Linked DNA regions of Caenorhabditis elegans. The protein of the gene in region 1 purifies or fractionates together with the protein of each later gene. This does not show direct contact. Each region holds a gene or a part of one and is shown in the gene's direction. Other genes may lie near its edges.

Region 1 (5,582 bases):
TTTTTTTGAATTTTGAAAAATCTGAAAACCTTCCGAAGTTAGTAAATTGCCAAATGTTCCGAAATTGTGAAATTGATGCCGGTTCAAATTTCTAGAACGTTCTAATTAAAATATAAAACTCGTAGAAATTTTGATTTTTTTGGTCGATTTTCAAAATTATGACAAAGTTTTCACCACTTTTTTGACTGTAAATAAAAAAAACCAAAAGTTTTGCTATAATTTTTGAACATTTAAGCACTATAGTAGTTGTTCTACGAAACGCATTTTTCAAAACTGTAAGTTTCGGTGATTTTTTTTTTGAAATATTATACATTTATTTTGATAAATAAAGTATTTTTCCTACTTCCTTCCTCATTTACTTAATTTTCTTCTTTTTTTTCTTAAACAGTTTTTTTCTTGTCATGTCACACTTTTTTTTGCTGTATCTTTTTTTTCTCCAATTCAATGTTCCTATGGCCACCCAACGACGACACCGTGTGAAGGTCATTCATCTCTTTCTCGAAAATGGAAATAATGGGAAAAAAGTGATGGGATGGGAGAATTTGATATGATAAGATATGGGGTTTTTCTCGCACAGGTGGTCGTACAGACTTTCAGCCGATTTTTGCAGATAGACTACTCACATCTTCACGTTTTTCTCGGCTGCACTGAGCACACTGCTCGTCGATGGCACCGGCTCCTCATTGGTCATGACTTTCTTCTCTGCCGCACCACCCCTGAAACTAGACATTTACAGAGAGAGACCCAGACGATGTTGCATTTAGTCTCTTGGATAATTTGGAAGTAGTTTCCATGGAAACCAAAATTGTAAAAGAAGCCGAGATGAAGCCGGAAAAGCAGCTAGAGAAAAGCAAAGGTGGCCTAGAGAGAGAGTTAGGGAGGGGGGAACGAAACTAAGTTGCTGCGTCGATAAAATATGTGCGGCAGCGGGGAGTGTCTCCTCGTTGCCTGGGGGAGTGTACGTGAGTGAGTGAGAGAGTGTCTGTCTGTGTGAGTGTGTGTGGTGCGAGTGTGTGTGTCTCAGTTGTGTGTGTGTTGTTGTGGGTGAAGAGATGGGACGAAAAGGAGATATGTGTGTGTGCCTAGGGCCCCTCTCAACAATGGAACATCACTTCTTCCCTGCTTCTCCTTCTTAAAAGTATTTCTTTAAGGGCCCCCGAGGTTGGGAAGAAGGTGGCTCGGCGCTTGCATAGGAACGGAAGCTGAAAACTAGGACATATTCCTCACAGACTGGCGAATCTGAAAAATAAATACCGTAACATGTATCAGTATCACAATAGTTTTTTTTTCAAATTTCAAGTATTTCAAGTAACATGAAACATTCAACATGTTTGAGAGTTAATAATATAATATACCTAGGTTACTTATTTTATTAAATTTCCTTCTTCAAACATACCTGTTAAAAACAATCAGACATCCCAAAAAAACTCTGAAATGTTCTGTCAAAGTCATGTTTAAAAGTTTGAAACTACAAAGATGTTGCAAGAATACGGTCTTGCAACGATCGGAAGTTTGTTACTGAAAGCTGTGAACCGCGACAATTAAGAACTATTGTAGTTACTTATTAAAAATGTACACTCTTTTTTGGAGAAACCGTTTAAAAATTCAAGGTCGTGTCGAGACCTGATACTGTATTTTTGCTTTATAAATTGTAATATTCTTAATCTGGATGATTAATACAGTTTACATATTACCGGAACACAAAATTCTAAAAATTCGTACTGTGCAACATATTTGACGCTTTAAATATCTCGTAGCGAGAACTACAGCTGTATACAGTAATTCTTTAAATGACTACTGTAGCGCTTGTGTCGATTTACGGGCTCGATTTATGAAATTAATTTAATTTCGAACAGCGACATTCTTTTTTCATTCGTTTCTCATTTTTTGCTTAATTTTAGTATTCTATAGATAAATAAATTATTTTAATCCATTCGAGCCCGTAAATAATATGCATTCTCAGAATTTTGTGTTCCCGTAATAAACTATGAGTTACAATTTTCGATTTCAAGACATACCGTACCCAAGTTTATCAGAGAGCGGCACAAAATCGGTTTTCCTGTTGAAAATAGCTAAAAATCAACAATTATTGTCTTATATCCATAGATATAAAACAATGCATATTATATTTATTTTTTTCTTCAGAAAAGAAACGAAAATATTTTATTTTCACATTTTTATATTCAGTTTTTGCATAGTTTTTCTTTTTTATTTCTAGATTACACTTAAAAGCTGATAAATTTAGTGTTATTCTCGATTTTTCGGAATAAAAATTCATTTTCAATAATTTTTGATCTTCTCTTTATTTTTGAAGAAAAATTATTGATTTTTTTCCACCAGAATTTTCAATTTTAAAGGGATGACCAAATTTAAAAACCACGGGTCTCGCAACGAATATGAAAAATATTTTTGCGCTTTGCAGACGCGCACGAGCGGCAAGTTTTCAATTTTCTGCAGTTGTTCACCAATCTAGATTTCTTTTTCATCATTTATTCTCTTTTTCTTCCCGATGCGGTTGATTTTGCTTTGCTCTCTTTGCTTCAATCTGAATTTTCGCCATTTTTATTCAGATTTGTTCCTTCTTAAGCTATTACTTCTTGTGAATCTTCCGTCAAAATTTCATTCAAGTTTTCTTACAGACTCAAAAAAATGTCGAAAGCCAACGTCGGAATCAACGGTTTCGGAAGAATCGGACGTCTCGTGCTCCGCGCGGCTGTCGAAAAGGACACGGTTCAAGTGGTCGCCGTCAACGATCCGTTTATCACAATCGACTACATGGTCTACCTTTTCAAGTATGACTCGACCCACGGTCAATTCAAAGGAACTGTTACCTACGATGGAGACTTTCTGATTGTCCAGAAAGATGGCAAATCATCGCACAAGATCAAGGTCTTCAACAGCAAGGATCCAGCTGCCATCGCATGGGGATCAGTCAAAGCCGATTTCGTTGTCGAGTCTACTGGAGTTTTCACGACAAAGGAAAAGGCCTCTGCCCATCTTCAAGGAGGAGCCAAGAAGGTCATCATCTCTGCTCCATCTGCTGATGCTCCAATGTACGTGGTTGGAGTAAACCATGAGAAGTACGACGCTTCGAATGATCACGTTATTTCTAACGCATCGTGCACCACCAACTGTCTGGCACCACTGGCGAAGGTTATCAATGATAACTTCGGTATGATCATCATCAAATCAATTTGTTTTTTTCTAATTTATTTTATTTTCAGGTATCATCGAAGGACTCATGACGACAGTGCACGCTGTAACCGCAACCCAGAAGACAGTCGATGGACCATCCGGAAAGCTGTGGAGAGATGGACGCGGTGCTGGACAAAACATCATTCCAGCTTCCACTGGAGCCGCCAAGGCTGTGGGAAAAGTCATTCCGGAGCTGAACGGAAAGCTCACTGGAATGGCTTTCCGTGTCCCTACACCAGATGTTTCCGTCGTTGATCTGACCGTTCGCCTCGAGAAACCAGCTTCGATGGATGACATCAAGAAGGTAGTCAAGGCCGCTGCCGATGGACCAATGAAGGGAATCCTCGCCTACACCGAAGATCAAGTTGTGTCGACTGACTTCGTGTCCGACCCTCACTCGTCCATTTTCGATACTGGAGCATGCATTTCGCTCAACCCGAACTTCGTCAAGCTCGTCTCTTGGTAACCACTGAATTTTTAAAAAATGTATTTTAAATTTATTTTTTACAGGTACGACAATGAATATGGATACTCGAACCGTGTTGTCGACCTCATCGGATACATCGCCACCCGTGGATAATTCTATCAGGATCTTTTATGTATAATCCATGTATTTCATAGCTATTTTTTTTATTACAGTCATCATTGAATAAACCTATTTTTCTGGTGAAATCTAGTACTTTTGTCGTGATTTTAGAAAAAGATTGAAATGACTTCTAAAGTGAATGTCTATTGGAATTCGAGACCTAACCTTTAAATTTAAAGTTGCTTCGCATTTTGATGGTGCGAACGTGGACTATTGATAGTGTTTTGTGGTGCGTTGCGGGCTAAACCGCGACGCCTCTGACGATCTTGCACCCAAATAAATTAAACGTATTTTTCTGATTAAAATTAACATTTCGTCTAGAAAAGCTAATTTTGCACTCATTTGAAAATAATAGCATCTTTCTTTTTTTTAATGAATCCATTTCACATCCATTATCTGATACAAATTTTATTCTAGATGTTTTTCCTAAAGCTCCTCATTTTTCGAATATCTGTATTTAATTCGTTTTTTATTTCCAGAACAGCTGTCCTAAATCATGTTTTTTTTTCAGAAATGCCGTCCATCAGTAAAACGAAAAGCGGGGAGCGCTATCGAGCGCCTACCGATCAAGCTCGTAAAATGGATCGAAAAAAGGAAAACAAGAGAAACAAAAAAGACAGGCAGCAAATAAGACAAGCTATGGCGAAATACTGTAATCTGGATGAGACAACGAGCAAACTTTTGGCATTAGAACGGCAGATCCTTGGATTAGATCCTCAACCGTTCCATATCGATGTTCTCAGAAAGAAGCAGAAAGTGCTGACAGATTCGATTAATAAAAGACGGATGACATTGCAACAGGGAAAAGAAGACGCTGAATTAAAGAAGTTTAATGACAAAATCAATGCATATCAGTCAGATTGTCAAAAACTAGCTGTTCTTGCTCGTAAGTATCATTTTTCTTTTTTTTTATAAATCACAACGTTCATTTTAGAACAAGCTCGTCTTGCCCGCGAAGCTGACCCGGACATGATCCCCTTACCAATGGGAGATGTTTCTACTGCCGGACCTGAAAGAAATAATCAACTACTTGCTCCTGCTATGATAAAGTATGTTAAATAAGTTTTGAGAATTTAAATTTTTAATTATTTTTTAGACGTAAAGTGGAATTTCAACTTCCTCCTAGACCTGTTCGTGTAGCTGGACAAAAGCCTCCTGGGCCGCCTTGTGGATTGGCTCCAAATTTCAGTGACAGCGAAGAAGAAGAAGAGGAAGTGCACGATGATCACTATGACGACATCGATCTTGCGCCCGTACCTAGTAAGGAGTTAATTTCTTAACGAAAGTAATTTTTGAAAAATTTCAGTTCCCGAATTCGACAACCCGTACCAGCCAATTCATAGAAATTGTAAGTTTTTATAGGCCAATTCCAACATTTAAAATTCTTACTCCCTTTTGTCTGGAAATTTTCAAGAAATTCCCACATTAAAAAAAATGTAATAAAAATTATGTTTTGCAAATAAAATTATGTTTTGATTTCCAGACGGACCTCCATCCTCATATAACTCAATGCCAACCAGAATGCCGCACCATCATCACCACCATCACCCACATGCGAGTTCTCATTACAATCCAATGGGTTTCCAAAACCATCACGAAGAAGCTGTTATTTCGTCGGCTCCACAAATTAATCGCAGTAATGAACCTGCTGCTCCAGCAACACTTTCTGCTGCTCCTGAACTACGAAACTTACGACGAGAAACTGTCAAATTAGTGCCGGCACAATTGCTCCGTCGTCCAGGAGACAACAAGACTATCGTCCCACGACAAGCGGCTCCAGTACAAAGGCGACCGGAGGTTC
Region 2 (5,897 bases), on another chromosome or scaffold:
ATTGCAGAAGGGCACAATATGCTTCCTGCTACCCTCGAATACTAGTTTCTGCACAAATCTTGAATCCTTGATGCCTTTTACTGCATGATAAGCTTGCACAATTTTCTCGTTATCCGTGTGAATATCAATATCTGGATCCACGACTCCCAAAAAATGAAGAGCGCTTTCATACTGAAATATAAGTTTTAGTGCACATTTTCAAATCAATGACTCACCAATTCATCTAAATGAGATACACAGCATTTAAATCTTTGCATTCGAGCCAACTCTTTTGCTTTGTCCATATCGTACTTATCATTCATAACACAAACGTAGATCATGATGTAGGCATCTGTATTATTGACTGAACGGACCTTGGTCATTTCCATTTGTTGATTACACACCAGACACGGCCATTTGACATATCCAGGAATATGTTCAAATGTTGTGAGTTGGATGGACGATTTCGAACGTTTTTGTGATGATTTTCCGTTGTCTATCGAGCCAATTAGTGACTTTTCCTCTTCCACTCTTGTTATTTTATACTTTTTCAGTAACAATTCGAATTCCGATTTGCAATTAGTCAATGAAGTAGAAGGTCCCGTTCCAAAACTGTCAGAAGTTACAGGGTTATTCATAATTTGACTCTCGCTGGTTGAATTTCCTGCATTTGAATTCTCCTGCATTTGAAGATCCTCTAATGAAGGTTTTGTTTCAATGGGGGCATCATCGTAATCTGATATTGGTTCTAATTTGATATCTTGTGAGTTCACATTTGGACTCGATTGTGCCATATCATTCGAATTTTCACTGTTCGCGTCAAATTCATTATCCATAGATGACTCCTCTTCCATTTCGTTTGGGAAAACCGACTGTTCATCAGATCGTCTTTCCCTGCCTACCGAAGTTTGACTCAATTGGAAACAATTTGAAAGGCTATTCGGCATGTATTCGTTGTTTGATTCTCGACATTCAAGAATATCAGTTTGCATCCATTGACGAACCATTTCGTGACGTTGTTTTTCTAAATTTTCGTATTCATCGGGGTTCATAAGCTCCCATCGTTTGAATGTATCGTATTTGTCGACATTCACTTTCTATAAAACTTTTAGATGAATATGTGTGGATATTTCTCTATTTTTATAGTATAACTTTAAAATAGTAAGTATTTGAAAAGCTCATTTTTGAAATTACTTACAATTAAGTCTGATGTTGTAGGCAAAACAATATCCGGTCTGATGAGCTCGAACATTGCTCGAAATTTTGGATGATTTACGATAGAAAATTCAATGTTTGTACTTCTCAGAAAATCAATCATCAACACGTTGAGCATTTTCTTCTGATAAGCTTGTTTCTGAAATTTGGATTTTTTATAAATACCTAGGAAACTCTAAAACTGACCTCTTCATTGCTGATGTTCTCCATTTAGTTTTATTATTTAGGTAAATTAATTGCATAAAAAAATAAAGTTGACAATCAATATGGTAAGAAACTCGCTCAACGCAGGGTCAGCAGCGACGCAGACAACGAGACAAAGGCAGTGTAGGCAGCGAAACGACGGCAGAGATGTGTTTTGTGAGAATATAGGAGAATGAGGACGTAAGGAGAAAAAAAATCGTTGAGTGAACGATGAACGCTCTTATTAAATTAAAAAAAAAGAAACTAAAAATTAATGTAGAGAATTCAGTTCGAATTACCGCCGTAGCCCAATAGAGCGAGTTTGCGGACCTCTCAAGAAAAAGTTTTTACCTTAAAAGATTAGTGTGTCAATTTCAATTTTAAGTTTTCCCGTGTTTCTTTGGATCTTATTCCTGCTTGCGCATGTTTACATAAATTAAATGTACTCTGATTCCCGTTTTACAATGCAATTTGTTCTCTGAACCTCCAATTTTCTCATCATATTCGACGCTTTCAATCCTGAGCGAAAACAAAACACCTCGAGAAGATCGAATTGTCATCGTTTCTTGTAAAATTTTGAAAAAAGGTGACAAAACCTCCGGCATTTTTTGTTTGCGTCGTAGCCTAAAAGTAACAAGAGTGCAGGGGAGAAAAAAAAGTAATTCAATGCCAAACACCACTTTGTTTTTTGTTCATTCGTCGGCATTCGTCGGCACTCGTTCTAAAAGAACAGAAACTTATTTTCTCCTATCATTGCGTTCAATTTTTGAATTCAGGAAATACTTGAATCCTTATCCTTGAAATATTTTGAAATTTTTCTTTTCGAAAACCTATTGAGGTCAATTTTCTAGAAAGATAACATCTCACAGAACTCCGAGTGTGGTCTACAAGATAGTCACAAATTTCCCCCAATCTCTTATTCACTGCAGAAATCTGTCTCCGTCTCTTTGCTTATCTGGTTTCCTCGTTTTTCTTTTTTCTGTGCACTTTCCGTCAACCAGTTCAGTTTTTCTAACTGTACCCAATTATTGTTATAATAATAATTACACGGCCTATAAACAAAACAAATCGCCTCCACTAGTCAATATATAAATAAGCGATGGAAGTTGAGTGGAGTAGGCCACAAAATAATGATGATGACATTGATTGTTTGTCCAAAAATGAAGTAAAGAGCGGGAGGCGCCTCCTCACAAAAAACTAATCAAAGTCGTCTCTCACGTTTTTACAACTTTCCCCGAATTATCCAAAAACGTTCACATCAAATTTATAAATTCTGAGTAATGAAAAAATCCTTTCTGGCATCACTTTTTTCGAAACATTATCATCATTGTTTCATTGATGTTTCCCGAAATTGAACCATTTTGATCAAAATTTCACACATGAGAATTGTTTTCTGAAATAAATTGGTCATTTACGCCATAAGAGACTTTTAAAAATCAATTTTGTAACCGCAATCTATATTTTTCTTCTCTCCGTCACTCTTAAAATCCTTTTTTTTAATTTTCAATGGCTTTTTCCAGAAATTAAAATGGCCGAAGCTGATATTGCCGTCATCGGATTGGCCGTTATGGGTCAAAATCTTATTCTGAACATGAATGATCACGGATTCACTGTTTGCGCCTTCAACAGAACTGTCAAATTGGTCGACGATTTTCTTGCCAATGAAGCTAAAGGAACTAAGATTATTGGAGCTCATTCAATTGAGGAAATGTGCAAGAAATTGAAAAGACCACGTCGTGTCATGATGCTCATTAAAGCCGGAACTCCTGTCGATATGATGATCGATGCAATTGTTCCGCATCTTGAGGAAGGTGATATTATCATTGATGGAGGAAATTCTGAATACACTGATTCAAACGTAAGTTTTTGTTTTTTTCTAAATATTTATTTATTTTATTCATTAGACTTTTCTCTCTAAAAATAAAATAAATATGTAATATAGTGAATCGATTGTGAACTGACAAACAACAATTATTTTCAGAGACGCTCCGAGCAACTCGCCGCAAAGGGGATCATGTTCGTCGGCTGTGGAGTTTCCGGAGGAGAAGAAGGTATGAATTTGTATTTTGAATTGTTTGCAAAGAGTTGAGGTATACGGTAATTTATTTAAAAATACAATAACAGGGATTTAATGACCAGATTAAACCAAATGTTTGGAAATATGCTTTTTTAGATTAATATTAGTTCACTGGTCCACTTGCATCCACCGAGTTGGTTTTCATTGATATTTCTCTTTCCAGCGACTTTTGTTGCTTGTAATGTTCAGGAACCGGCTTATTGATCACAGTTAGCCTAGAAAAATGATTAACCAGTAAATAGTGAACAATTAAAAGTAAGGTTAATTGGAAAAATGATTAAAAACCATTCCTATGATGCTAAAATGACCAAATATCAAAATAAAACTCTTCGCTAAATTAACATGAATATTTAAAACATAATTATAACATAAAACCAAAATAAATTTTTTGGTACACTACTTCCAAAAAAATTGGTGAAAACTGAGTTCGCACCGCTTTTTGACTCGAAATACAAAAATTTTACAAAATTTTTTGAATATATTTAATATTATTTTTGGTAATTTAAATACAATATTAATGGTTTTTAATCATTTTCCAATTAACCATACTCTATTGCTAGGTTTAAAAAAAGCTAACCAAAAAGTGGCAAAAACTGCCTTATGATCCGACGGTGTTGTTCCTCTCATACAATCGTACTGAATGTTTTGGAGCCATTCCGAGTTTCTTACCCAAAAGAGAACGCGGTCCTAAAATATTGAAGTCTTAGCAATGTTTGTAATCAGAAATTACTCACAGTAAAAGACGGAATCCTTTTTGGCACATAATTGTCTGTGTCTGGCTCGAATTTATGTGTTGGAGGGAATTTAATTGGAGCTTCCTTGAAATCTGTGAATGCTAATTGCTTTTTCCTATGACTGGCAAGCTCTTCTGTTTCAAAAACATCTCTAAATGTTTTCTCTGTAATCTTTTCCGGATCTCTCCAGTCTACATTGCTCTCTACAGTAACCCGGAAATTCAAATCTCCAATCCAAAGCACCACCTGAAAATGATTTATGGAGGAAGTGTCGCCCTTCAGAGGCGCTTACGTCAGAACCAAAAATTTCGTCTTTTGCATGTGCATGAAATCTGGCAAGCTGAGGAAAACGAAGAGTGCGGACCACTTTAGCGTAGTCTTGGATACGTTGTTGTGGTGTTGCATCTGTAAGAATATAACATTTTTGTGTTCTCATCATTAGTCTAACAATGTAAGGGACCACTCACGTGATAAATGACATCCGATAAGCACTATAAATCGCTGATATAAACGAAGACATACCGCGATTGCACCTTTCGTTCGAACTGGTTTTGCCATTGCACCAGATGCGATAAATGATACTTGTGGTTCTAGAAATTTTAAACTATTAGATTCTAGATTATAAGATCTGAACTCACGGATTGCATATCGAAGATGTTTCTGTCGAATGAAGACTATTACCATTTGACTCCAGGCTCTATGTGAAAGGTACAGACGATGACCATTGAGAACTGGCTCAAGAATTCGTAATGCTTCTTCATGAAAAGTTCTGAAACTGATTTTAGTTAATCGAAAATTAATAGTTTTCGGAACTAACGGTGCTGTGGAAGGTATTTCTTGCAATGAGATGAAAAATATATCACTATCCATTTCTTGTCCTCGTTCTGCTATTTTCTGAGCGAGATGGCTCAATATTTTCACACCTTTTTCGTTAATGTTCCATGTCACGGTACATACTTTCAGTTTTCTATCACCCATAGCTTCAATAACGTCGTAACTGACAATTGGAACATTCCCAAATCCTTTTACAGCAGGGCTAAATATCATATGTTCAATGAATGATGAAAAAAAAGTAATCACTTACGCAGTATTTTGCGTTTCAATGCAGTATGTCCAATTGCCGTCACTGATCTCGTTGACTGAAATGAAGTGTAATGGGTGTCAGAACAATAGGATTAAGTCGGGGAAGGATTAGAGGCTTACATGAGGCGCTGTTACGCCACGTGGCAGGTTGAGAGGAAGAACGGAGCCATGGAGGGTGTCGAGTAGGAGTTTGATGTGATTGCTTCTCACTTGAAGAATCTCCTGATTTTGGATCACCTCCAGATGCAGAGGGAGTGTTGGCATCTAAAAGAAATTGATACGTCCAAATAAATGTAGAATACTAGATTTCAACTCAAATGTTTCTCAGTCTTACCCATTTACTGTATGAATTAAATAACTTGGCTTATTGCTTCGTTTCAACCAACTAAGCTTCGAAATGCATATTGAAAATAGAGAACATAAATCCAATAGCGACGGACTCTATCAGAGGCTTCAAGTATAGGAACGGGAGGGAAGAGCGCGCACTTTTGTATGTCAGAAAGCCCGCGTTTTTCGTGTGCAATTCGCTCGTTTTTGTCCGATGATAAAATGACGAACAAGTATAACGGACGACTCTGGTGTTGGTGGTGCTATATAATGTTATGTAGATTTCGGTGTGCAAAGGG

What was found.
Region 2: the proteins of gpd-4 (region 1) and T25B9.9 fractionate together in Caenorhabditis elegans (co-fractionation; one large-scale study listed by BioGRID). This does not show direct contact.

The regions. Positions count from the first base shown.
Region 1 is NC_003280.10:10,168,631-10,174,212, forward strand, and holds gpd-4 (Glyceraldehyde-3-phosphate dehydrogenase 4), read left to right. Parts: upstream 1-2,637; 5' UTR 2,638-2,649; coding exon 2,650-3,172; intron 3,173-3,224; coding exon 3,225-3,657; intron 3,658-3,705; coding exon 3,706-3,775; 3' UTR 3,776-3,868; downstream 3,869-5,582. Other genes in the region: RFX-like transcription factor daf-19, read right to left, coding at 624-691; WW domain-binding protein wbp-11, read left to right, coding at 4,295-4,667, 4,716-4,830, 4,878-5,041, 5,088-5,129, 5,265-5,582.
Region 2 is NC_003282.8:10,766,756-10,772,652, forward strand, and holds the start of T25B9.9 (6-phosphogluconate dehydrogenase, decarboxylating), read left to right. Parts: upstream 1-2,897; 5' UTR 2,898-2,905; coding exon 2,906-3,235; intron 3,236-3,358; coding exon 3,359-3,428; intron 3,429-3,462; exon of another isoform or gene 3,463-3,557; coding exon of another isoform or gene 3,558-3,669; intron 3,670-4,031; coding exon of another isoform or gene 4,032-4,141; intron 4,142-4,188; coding exon of another isoform or gene 4,189-4,434; intron 4,435-4,480; coding exon of another isoform or gene 4,481-4,593; intron 4,594-4,655; coding exon of another isoform or gene 4,656-4,778; intron 4,779-4,826; coding exon of another isoform or gene 4,827-4,957; intron 4,958-5,005; coding exon of another isoform or gene 5,006-5,224; intron 5,225-5,272; coding exon of another isoform or gene 5,273-5,327; intron 5,328-5,391; coding exon of another isoform or gene 5,392-5,535; intron 5,536-5,605; coding exon of another isoform or gene 5,606-5,609; exon of another isoform or gene 5,610-5,897. Other genes in the region: T25B9.8 (Lin-15A/B-like domain-containing protein), read right to left, coding at 1-171, 216-1,076, 1,178-1,333, 1,381-1,404; inpp-1 (Inositol polyphosphate-related phosphatase domain-containing protein), read right to left, coding at 3,558-3,669, 4,032-4,141, 4,189-4,434, 4,481-4,593, 4,656-4,778, 4,827-4,957, 5,006-5,224, 5,273-5,327 and 1 more. UniProt on the Caenorhabditis elegans protein: Catalyzes the oxidative decarboxylation of 6-phosphogluconate to ribulose 5-phosphate and CO(2), with concomitant reduction of NADP to NADPH.